Linked DNA regions of Arabidopsis thaliana. The protein of the gene in region 1 interacts with the protein of each later gene in a pairwise test. Each region holds a gene or a part of one and is shown in the gene's direction. Other genes may lie near its edges.

Region 1 (5,117 bases):
TATAGTTATATTACAGTGAAAATAGATATTGTACAAGTTATAAAATCCTAACCACTTGGATAATCTACACATCCTTCGATTACTTTTACAATATAGCTGTATCAATTATCTTGCATTTGTGCAATTATTATATTGAATTTCAATTGAACCAATTATAAAATTTATTATGTAATTTAGTATTATATATTTTATCAATTATAAACAATTCATACTTTTTGCTATTATATATATAAAAAAATTTTAATTTTTAATTTTACTAATTGAAAAAGATTATATCTAACCACCTAACGACAACTCCTTTCTCGGATCAAGTTTTTTCTTGGTTCTTCTTTTCTCGGGGTACTTCCTCTCGGATTCTCTATGTCTCTTAACTCGGTCTAACCCGCTAAAGCTTAGCTCACATGCGGGTCATAAAATCCGATTACCTTTTGCGAAGTATGACCGAGAGTTGAAAGAAATTCGGATGTTCCTTAGAAACTCGGACCGTGAGTCCTTCTTTCTCGTTTAACTTGGAGTGTTCAATCGTCGGGTTGGAAGTGAATCGGATGATAATCACCTTCCTTCTCGTCTTTGTCCTCCGTTTTAAGTTTTTTTTCTTCCGTGAATTCTTTTTTTCTCTTCCTCTTTCGCGGGACTTAACATTTCGAGTTATCTCCGATCTAGGCTTCCCGATCTTTCACTTCAGCATACGCTATGATATCGTTTCTAAAGTCACTCATTCGTGCTCTGGACGGAGATGATGACGTCTTCGATTTTGCTTTTGTGGCCTCTTCGGTCACCGAGCTCCCTTATTTTGCTACGAGGACAAAGATTGGGAAGAAGAGAATTGAGGAAGTGATAGATTCAGATCTTCAGGGACTCGCCAAATACGAGGAGAGAGCGATTAAAGCTATCAAGCCGAGAGTGAAAGTTACCATTGAGAAAGACATCACTTTGCTACAGAGGGTAAGTGAATCTTTCTTACATCCACAAGACATGGTTCTATGTGTGTTGTTTCATCTTTCTCTAGACTTTTGTTGCTATTTCGGTTTACAAACTTTTGATTGTGGTTTGATCTTTCTCTAAACATTTTTTGCTGTATTTGGTTAAAGACTTTTGAGAATCTTCAAACAGGGCTTAGGACTTCTTAATTGTGCCTGAATTCTCAGACAAAGAATCCGTGTCTGGTTTGTACAGTTTCAGAGATTTGTTACAAAAACTGATGAATGAGTTGAAGAGGAGAAGAGTTAAGGAGTCTAGTCTAAATAAGTTTTCAAGTTTATTGTAATAGTAAAACCTCTATAAATTAATACTCGATAAATTAATAATCTATATAAGATTAATAATTTTTTCCAGTCCCGAGTTGGGACTGTAAAAAGTGACACAAATTGATAAATTAATAAAATAATAATTTTTTTGAAAATCCTATGTAAATATATGATCCCATCAATATTATAAATTAGTAATTGTATAAATATAAAATATATATATATCTAATATATTATATGTAAGAAATTTCTAATATTTTTTTGCTTAAACTCGTATTTGTTCTTATTTGAATTTAGTTATAATATTTTACTGTATCAAAACTTTTGATATTGTTTTATAGACATGATAATTATTTTTTACTTGCAATTGGTTTTAGAAAGATATTCTCTATGATGAAAAATATCTTGTAGAAACTTTTAAAAAGTTACTACATTAGAAAACTCTCTATGTAAATTAATAAATTATTTATTAATTTATTCCTTAATTTGTAGATTTCTGTTTGGAAAGAAATTGCTAAAAATTAATATAAAAGCCCAATGGGCCGTGTAATAAGTAGACCCAAAGTTATTCGGTACAGTAGTGACGACCGGTTAATCTTCGCCCGCGCTATCGTCATTGCAAAAATCTCGAACCAGATTCGGACATCTCGTCGAAAATGGCGTGCTCAATTGGTAACGCTTTCAGGTGTTCTTCTGATACGCTGCGTTTTGCTCCCCGACAACAATGCAGCAGCCGCCTAAACCCTAATCCTTCCTCTTTCCTCTCCTTTAATTCCTCCCCAATTCTCGCACAGGTATCGAGTATATATATATATTTATTCTAATGTCCAAAGCACACTTTTCCAGTAACGCCTTTTGCATATTCAAACTGAATTTTGATTTTCGAATTTCTGGATTATTTTAAAGAATTTGGGTGCTTCTTCTTCGTCACTTTCCCGACGGACTATACGAGCTAGAACAAAAATGGCTGCGTCGGAGGCTTCCATTAACGGGAGCAACAGGATGCTGGTAATAAAACTCTAGGATTTCAATTTTCAGATTTTTTTTGAGTTTGATTTGAAAGTGAAAGATGTGAATTTGATTCTGGTGTTTCAGGTCTTTGTGCCACCACATCCTTTGATCAAACACTGGATCTCTGTTCTGAGAAATGAACAAACTCCTTGTCCTGTTTTCAGTGAGTAGATAAGATTCTTATGAGTATTTCTGCGATTTAACCAGTGTTTGTTGTTAAAGAACTGAATTTTACATCCATTTTTTTTTTTTTTTTTTTTGATTCGTTGGACAATCTTTAGCTCTTAGATTGGTGTTATCTGCTACATTGCGTTTGAATATGAGTTTTTTTAGGTTTGCTACTAGTATAAGTCTGTGTTGATCTTTAAAGCTTGAGTTTTTTTAATTATCTAGGGAATGCAATAGCTGAACTAGGGAGATTACTCATGTATGAAGCATCACGAGAGTGGCTGGTGCGTAGAATTTCACATCTCTATTATTCTTGAATTCTTCCTACCCGTTTTTTGCTTATTGTTTTTTGTTTTTTGCTCTATGCGGTTAAGCCAACTGTTGTGGGTGAAATAATGTCTCCAATGGGTCCTGCTTCTGTTGAATTCATTGATCCTAGAGAGCCTATTGCGGTTTGTTTATCCCTCAAACTCTTCCTGTCTATATTTTCTTTTCGACCTTACATGTAAGCGTTTCTAATTCTTGGTTTTGTCTCTGTGTAGGTTGTTCCGATATTAAGAGCTGGTCTTGCTCTTGCGGAACACGCATCCTCAGTTTTACCTGCTAATAAAATTTATCATTTAGGTTAGTAATCTAGCTATATATCATCTCTTGCCTGAACTTCGGATGTCAAAAATGAAAACTTTTATCAAATAGCTTATTGATGTCCCCGTGCTTCTTTTCTTTTACAGGAGTAAGTAGAGATGAGAAAACACTTTTACCATCGGTGTATCTTAACAAGTAAGAACTTCTCTGCAGCATTGTGTTTGTAGTTACTGAAGTGTTTATAATAACACCTTTGATACATCTTCTTTAGGTTGCCTGATGAATTTCCCAAGAATTCAAGAGTATTTTTGGTCGACCCAGTGCTTGCCACAGGTAAGAAAGTCTTATCATTTTAGCCACCTCCATATTAGAAGTATAGTTAGGGTTTGATGTTCAAATGTACACGATAATATGTGAATGTGAACGCATGACATGGTAATACGAATGTTTCATAGCTAGAAGCGTAGGTTTAGTAACTTAGTAACTTGTATTTTAGGTGGTACCATAATGGCGGCGATGGATCTATTGAAGGAACGTGGTTTGTCTGTTCAGCAAATCAAAGTGGTAAGCATATATATAGGAAACAGCTTTTGTCAGAAATCGAAGTGTTAATTGTTTTGATTTTTCTGATTACAGATTTGTGCGATTGCTGCACCTCCTGCACTATCGAAGCTTAACGAGAAATTCCCCGGGTAATCAATAGCAAAAGATCAACTCTCACCTTGCTTACCATTTAGTTAACTCTCTTTTTACTAAACTGTTTGGCTACTATTTGAAACATTTCAGGCTTCATGTATATGCTGGAATTATTGATCCTGAAGTCAATGAAAAGGGGTAAGTCATTAGGTTCTTTGGCTTTCCATATGAAAACTGGCGATTGTATTTTAATGTCCTTATGTATTTGTCATGAACTAGGTACATAATCCCTGGGCTTGGAGACGCTGGAGACCGCAGTTTCGGGACAGAAACACATTGGGTGAAGTGATACTTGTATGAGTTGTTAAACTTTAACAGTCACAATCGTTAGATTATATATTGTGTCTCTTGTACTTTGTTTTTGATGTGTGATTTCAGGTTCTTGAGAGGGTTTCGATAAAGAGTCAAAATTTCACAAACAAGAAAAACTGAATTCCTCATTATTACAAAACAGAGAACAAACTTGTCAACCATTTTATGTGTATCATTCTCAATTGTCTACCACAAACCATTTTGGGAAAAAGTATGCAAGAAAATCTGAAAAATTCATCCATGAAGCAAACATTTGAACCAATAATAAAAGTTTGTTATCAAATTGAATGAACTTAAGTTACTACCAAACTGAACCAGTATTTATGGTTTGGTTACGTTCGATTCCGGTTACAATTAACTGTCGGTACAATTCTGGTTGAAAAAGTTTAGTATTTCGGTTTGATTTAATTTTGTATACCGCTCTAATTGGATCGGTTTTTATTGCTCTTCAATTAAAAGTTGAAGGGTATAGTAGTCATTCCTATGAAATAAGCAAACCCTAGCTCGCTACTATAAATCTAATAAACCTATGAATTAAGCAAACCCTATCTTTGTCGCCGCCAAACCTCTCTCAGATTCTTCTTCTTCCTCGCAGGTGAGAATTTCTCCGTAGTATCTTAATCTCCTTTCACTGTATTGCTAATTAACGCATCGGAATAATCTAGGTTTCGATTTCAGAATTAGTTATCTCGTTGTGTCTTTTGTTGATTATATATTATTGTTGAATGTGATCAATTATTCTTGATGAATCTCTTAATTCGAGGTTCTATTGCTCATCTGATTAGTTTTTTTGTTTGTTTACTTGCTCAGATCGATTTTTTTTTGAAGCTAAATCTCAAAAATGGAGAACGACGCAGGTCAGGTCACAGAGCTCTACATTCCAAGGAAATGGTATATATCAGCTCTCTTTGTTCTCTGTGTAACGTTTGATTAAAATCTTAAGCTAATTGTCTTAATTAAGTAGCCTAAGCTGATTCTATTGTTGTGTAATGGTAATTTGTTTAGCTCGGCAACAAACAGAATGATCACATCAAAGGATCATGCTTCAGTTCAGCTTAACATTGGTCATCTTGATGCTAATGGTCTCTACACTGGCCA
Region 2 (5,283 bases), on another chromosome or scaffold:
GAAAATCGCCGGAAAAATGGGTTACGGGAAGCATAATCGATCTAAAGGAGGTAATTCAAGTCGTGGTCGGACTGATAATCTTGCAAGGTAAATCTTATCTTTGCGAATTGAGGTTTAGCTCTGTTTTCGATTTGTCGTAGTTGAGTAATTGTGATTTCGTTGAAATTGCAGGGAAGATGAATCGCTTCCTCTTGATCAAGGTACTGAAAAGTTGGATTTTTATGTTGTGTGGTGGTTATGTGATCTGCTTTAATTGTTTTAGTATTACTACCAGTACCAGTAATGCTCTTATTGGGTGATTTTTTATGTAGAACCTGAGGATGAAGCACCAGTTCCAAAAGTTCAATTGGCAATGTGGGTATGCATAGTTTCCTTTATGTTTTATTCAAAGCCAATGAAACTTCGAAGAACAAATTGTTGCTTCAGTACTCACAACTGTGTTTTTTTTGTTTAGGATTTTGGTCAATGTGATGCAAAGAGGTGCACAGGTCGTAAGCTTGCTAGATTTAACTTGTTAAAAGTAAGTATCTTGAGCTAGTAAAAATATATATGTCCTCTTCTTTCTAAGTGTTTCAGCTGAAAAATTCTTCTGTGATGATTTTGTAGGAATTACGGGTTAACACTGGATTCGGGGGTGTTGTTTTAAGGTATACCTCTTTTTACTGTATCCTAGGGTCATTTGTTATGACATTGGATGATGTTTTTAGTATCGTATTTTGAGTCTCATGATATTGGCAGTCCAGTTGGTAGACAATGTGTTTCAAGGGAAGACTATGATCTGATTAAAAGGAAAGGATTAGCTGTTGTTGATTGTTCTTGGGCACGTCTAACTGATGTCCCGTTTGCAAAGCTGCGTTGTACTGCACCTCGTCTTTGTAAGAACTTACGACTTAACTGATAAATATGTATCCAGATCTCTAGGAAATGTTTCTAATTTCTTTTATGGTTGCAGTACCATGGTTAGTAGCAGCTAATCCAGTAAATTATGGAAGACCATGTGAGTTATCATGTGTGGAGGCTTTATCTGCCGCTTTAATACTATGGTGAGTCCATAACATCTTCTCCTAAAACCCATCCGTCTCTTCTATTCGTCATACATTATCCGGTTTTCTAATGTCTTACTCTATCTGTTTTCCAATCAGTGGGGAGAAGGAAACTGCAGAACTTTTGTTAGGAAAATTCAAATGGGGTCATGCCTTTTTATCTTTGAACAAGTAACAAAACCGAAGAAGTTCAACATCGTCACATCATTTTTGCTTTTTGATCGGTGAATACAATTGAGCTATGTGTCTTTTAACAAGGTCTCGCTATATCGCAGGGATATTCTAAAGGAGTACTCAAAATGTGAGAATAGCGCTGAGATCATCTCAGTTCAAAATTCTTGGCTTACTCAGCAAACTCAGATCCCAAAACAACCACCTGCGCTCGAAGAACGTAAAGGCACATCTTTTTCTAATCTCTCTGTCATTACCACATACCTAACATAAGCTGAAATCTCACTTGCTTCCTGTTATTTCTTGTTTTGGGTTTAGATGTTAAGAAAGATGGTGAATCTGGTGATGAATCAGAGGAGGATGATGAAGATGGCCTCCCTCCTCTAGAGAGGAACATGAACCATATCAAATTAGAAGACAGTGAGGAGGAAGATAGCGAGTGAAAAGCCATTGGAGAAATCCTATTTGATCTAAAAAAGTTTCCATCTTTGGCTTACACTACTTGAAAGCAATGTTTTTCAAGTTTTCACCAGATTCTTCTGGTGTATTAATACCATGTAGTATAATGTTTATTTAGTTTTATTAATAAAAATATCTACTATACATTCTTAGATTTTTTAAATTTAAAGTTTTTGTTTTTTTCCATGTAAATATTAAATCTTTTTTTTAGGTGAAACAAAATGATAAAATAATTGAAGTGGAACAAAATATGGAGAAGAAAGAAAGTGAAAGCCCATCTTAAAGTTTGAAAGCACAAAAGAAAAAAACACAAGTTTCCTGATTCCTCTCTTCTCTGCGATTTTAGCTCTAGGGATCGATTTCGGCGTCAAACGTCGTCGTTTTCGACCATCTCCTACTTACTACTACTCAGCTGCTTCTGCCTTCTAGGGTTCTTTCTCCGTTCACCCTCCGCCGCACGAGTTGTCCAGCTCCGCCGCATTCTTCTGTCTCCCAGATCACCGGCTTTAAGCAAATCCGGCTGCTTTTCACTCTAATTCGTAAACCACTTGTGGGATTTGAGCATCTTTTACATTCTCCAAAATCTCTGCTTTCTAGGGTTTTGTGAGTTTTGGTGGGATGAGTAGTGTGTTCAGTGATCAGATCCTGATTGATAAGCTCGCTAAGCTCAATAGCAGTCAACAGTCTATCGAAAGTATCCTCTTTTAACCACTTCATCTCGAGTTTATTATGAAAGTTTTTACCTTTATGCTTAGATCTTGTAATTGTGCTTAATTTTTTCGATGTTTGGTTTCTTGACTCTTTTGGAATCAAGCTCTGTCACATTGGTGTATATTCAATCGGAGCAAAGCAGAATTGATCGTTACGACATGGGAGAAACAGTTTCACAGTACAGAGATGGATCAGAAAGTCCCTCTTTTGTATTTGGCTAATGATATTCTTCAGAACAGTAAGCGTCAAGGTAATGAGTTTGTGCAAGAGTTCTGGAATGTTCTTCCTAAGGCTCTTAAAGACATTGTTTCTCAAGGAGATGATAATGGCAAAAGCGCTGTCGCACGTGTGGTATTTCTCTCTCTCTCTCTTTCTTTCATTCTTCGTTGGAGCTTTTGTTCTTGTCTGGTTAATGCTCAATCTCATGTTTTGTATTGGGGGTAGTCTAGTGTTTGATGTTAGGGATGAAGAGCTTTAAGGTTCTTGAGATGTGTGATGCAATACAGAAGACATGAATAGAGAAGTTAATTGCTAATTGAGATATTTGGTTTACGTGATTTGTAGATCAAGATATGGGAAGAAAGAAGAGTGTTTGGATCACGTTCAAAGAGTCTTAAAGATGTAATGCTTGGAGAAGATGTTCCTCTGCCACTTGATATCAGCAAAAAGCGGCCTCGCGGATCCAAATCTTCAAAACGGGAGTCAAAATCGTCCAGAACGGTAAAACACTAAACACCAAAGTTTTCTTTTCTCCCCTATTAATATCAGTCATATTGCATTTTCCCGGTTTTTTGCTTTTGGATGCAGAAATTAGCATCAAGTGGTGGTGTGGCTGAGAAGATAGCATCAGCATATCATTTGGTTGTTGCAGAAAACTCAAATGAAGAAGCTGAGATGAATAAATGTAAGTCTGCAGTTAAACGAATCCGGAAGATGGAGAAAGATGTTGAAGAAGCCTGCTCTACTGGTAAAAACCTGTTACACTGATTATCGATTATCAAAATCTAGTGTAAATCAACTTGTGTCTCTACAGCAAAAGACAACCCGAAGAGAAAATCTTTGGCGAAAGAATTGGAAGAAGAAGAATACCTTTTGAGACAATGTATTGAGAAACTTAAATCTGTTCAAGGAAGTAGAAGTTCCCTTGTGAACCAGCTTAAAGATGCACTACGTGAACAGGTACAAAATACTTTTCTTGCACTTAGCAAGTTCACTATTTCGGTAATCTAATTTTCATTCTTTTGCTTACTTGTGTCAGGAATCCGAACTGGACAATCTTAAAGCTCAGATTCAGGTATGTGTTTGAATTCCCGCTGCATCTTCGTTTTGTGACCAACCTGAGCTTTCAGCTAATGAACCATTTTGTTATTATTAGGTAGCTAAAGAACAAACAGAGGAAGCCCAAAACATGCAGAAACGGCTTAATGATGAGGATTACACATCAAAACAAACAACTGCTGCCACTACGATAACCGAGACAAATGACAACACCAAATCTGGTCAAGCATCAAAAATGACGCCTGCATCTATTGCTGCAATGCTCACAGCGTCAACCTCATCACATATGATAATGCAGTCTGTTCTATCTTCATTCGCAGCTGAAGCAACAAAGACTTCTGGTCTATCCAAATCAGAGAGCACAGTTCCGGTCTCAGACACTAATGCTTCATTCCCTTCTTACAACAACTCCCAGAATCAGACACCTACCACACAAGGTCAGTACCATGTAATACCTAATCCACCACCACCACAGTTCCTAAAACCACCGGTAATGAATAACCCTTACGCCTTTGGCAACATTCCGTTAATGCCACCTGGGCTTCCGCCACCACCACCACCACCACATTTGATAGGTAATCAACAGCCTCAAATTCCTCAGTCGAACTCAGCTCAGCAATCTCAACAAGGTCCAACTTTCCAGCCACCAGGGATAATGTATTACGGAGCTCCACACCATTCTTAAAATAGAAATGATGTTAGTTAATAGCTTTAGATAGTTCTGACCCTTTTTATCTGCTCGAATGCGGTTTCGATGTTACATTGTTGGGTCAAATCAAAGTAGAACTACTGTTCCTCTGGTTGTAGAATCCTCACCTTTTCCCGTTACAGATATTTGTACCACAAGTTTCTACAACATAATGTAATAATTTCTCCTGTTCACTCTCTATCTCCTTCCTGTATGTATGTATACTTCTATACCTTAAGAACCGAACTGACTCAAACATGGAGACATAAGAGATTCAATTAACAATTTGAACAAAGCTTTTACATTCGTGTTTAAGGTACATTCTGTCTTAAACCCCAACCTGATTATCACTTCTTCATTAAAACCTGCTTCTGGAAAAAATCTTTGAGCCATAAGGGCATATGATACATGACTGCCATGAGGGTTGAATACCTGCCTGACGAGAACCAAGCGGGTGGATTCTTCTTCAGCACTGCGGCTACAGTGTCTCTGGCAAATGTTTCTGCAGGAGTTGGATTCATCCTCTGTGATATAAACGCCCTTTCTCTGATAGCTTCTTCATAAGGCTTGTATAGTTTCAGCTCAGGCATTTTGTTGAAAGTTGCCACAGCTGAGTTTGCTATGTTTGTTCTTATTCCTCCCGGGACAACATTGATGACATCAATCCCAAACGGACGAAGCTCCAACCTGACGTTAAGCAGGAAACATTACAAAACAATTGACAAACCAAAACCATCCGGTGCTGGATAATTTGAACAACTACACTTGTCATGAACATCAAGAATCATCAACCTAACCCAACATCAGACTTTAGTCCTCAGAAATAATGATACTCAAGTTTGATCACACCTTAAAAAAAGATTAGACCATTTCAACAATTTTTAGTTTACTACCATCAAATCTCCATTGACAGAACAAACAGAATATATATCA

What was found.
Region 2: the proteins of UPP (region 1) and AT5G10060 interact in a two-hybrid assay, tested with the Arabidopsis thaliana proteins (one large-scale study listed by BioGRID).

What each region holds. Positions count from the first base shown.
Region 1 is NC_003074.8:19,955,793-19,960,909, reverse strand, and holds UPP (uracil phosphoribosyltransferase), read left to right. Parts: upstream 1-1,834; 5' UTR 1,835-1,903; coding exon 1,904-2,041; intron 2,042-2,060; exon of another isoform or gene 2,061-2,153; coding exon 2,154-2,255; intron 2,256-2,342; coding exon 2,343-2,421; intron 2,422-2,651; coding exon 2,652-2,710; intron 2,711-2,800; coding exon 2,801-2,878; intron 2,879-2,968; coding exon 2,969-3,050; intron 3,051-3,157; coding exon 3,158-3,206; intron 3,207-3,282; coding exon 3,283-3,344; intron 3,345-3,507; coding exon 3,508-3,575; intron 3,576-3,647; coding exon 3,648-3,703; intron 3,704-3,797; coding exon 3,798-3,845; intron 3,846-3,926; coding exon 3,927-3,996; 3' UTR 3,997-4,320; downstream 4,321-5,117. Other genes in the region: AT3G53910 (malate dehydrogenase-like protein), read left to right, coding at 464-485, 686-945, 1,010-1,054; AT3G53890 (Ribosomal protein S21e), read left to right, coding at 4,861-4,910, 5,025-5,117. UniProt on the Arabidopsis thaliana protein: Uracil phosphoribosyltransferase (UPRT) that catalyzes the conversion of uracil and 5-phospho-alpha-D-ribose 1-diphosphate (PRPP) to UMP and diphosphate.
Region 2 is NC_003076.8:3,145,058-3,150,340, reverse strand, and holds AT5G10060 (ENTH/VHS family protein), read left to right. Parts: upstream 1-1,940; 5' UTR 1,941-2,291; coding exon 2,292-2,367; intron 2,368-2,487; coding exon 2,488-2,735; intron 2,736-2,948; coding exon 2,949-3,104; intron 3,105-3,191; coding exon 3,192-3,351; intron 3,352-3,417; coding exon 3,418-3,563; intron 3,564-3,642; coding exon 3,643-3,678; intron 3,679-3,759; coding exon 3,760-4,347; 3' UTR 4,348-4,592; downstream 4,593-5,283. Other genes in the region: AT5G10070 (RNase L inhibitor protein-like protein), read left to right, coding at 17-87, 172-200, 312-358, 455-520, 607-647, 739-875, 953-1,043, 1,143-1,214 and 2 more; AT5G10050 (NAD(P)-binding Rossmann-fold superfamily protein), read right to left, coding at 4,698-5,037.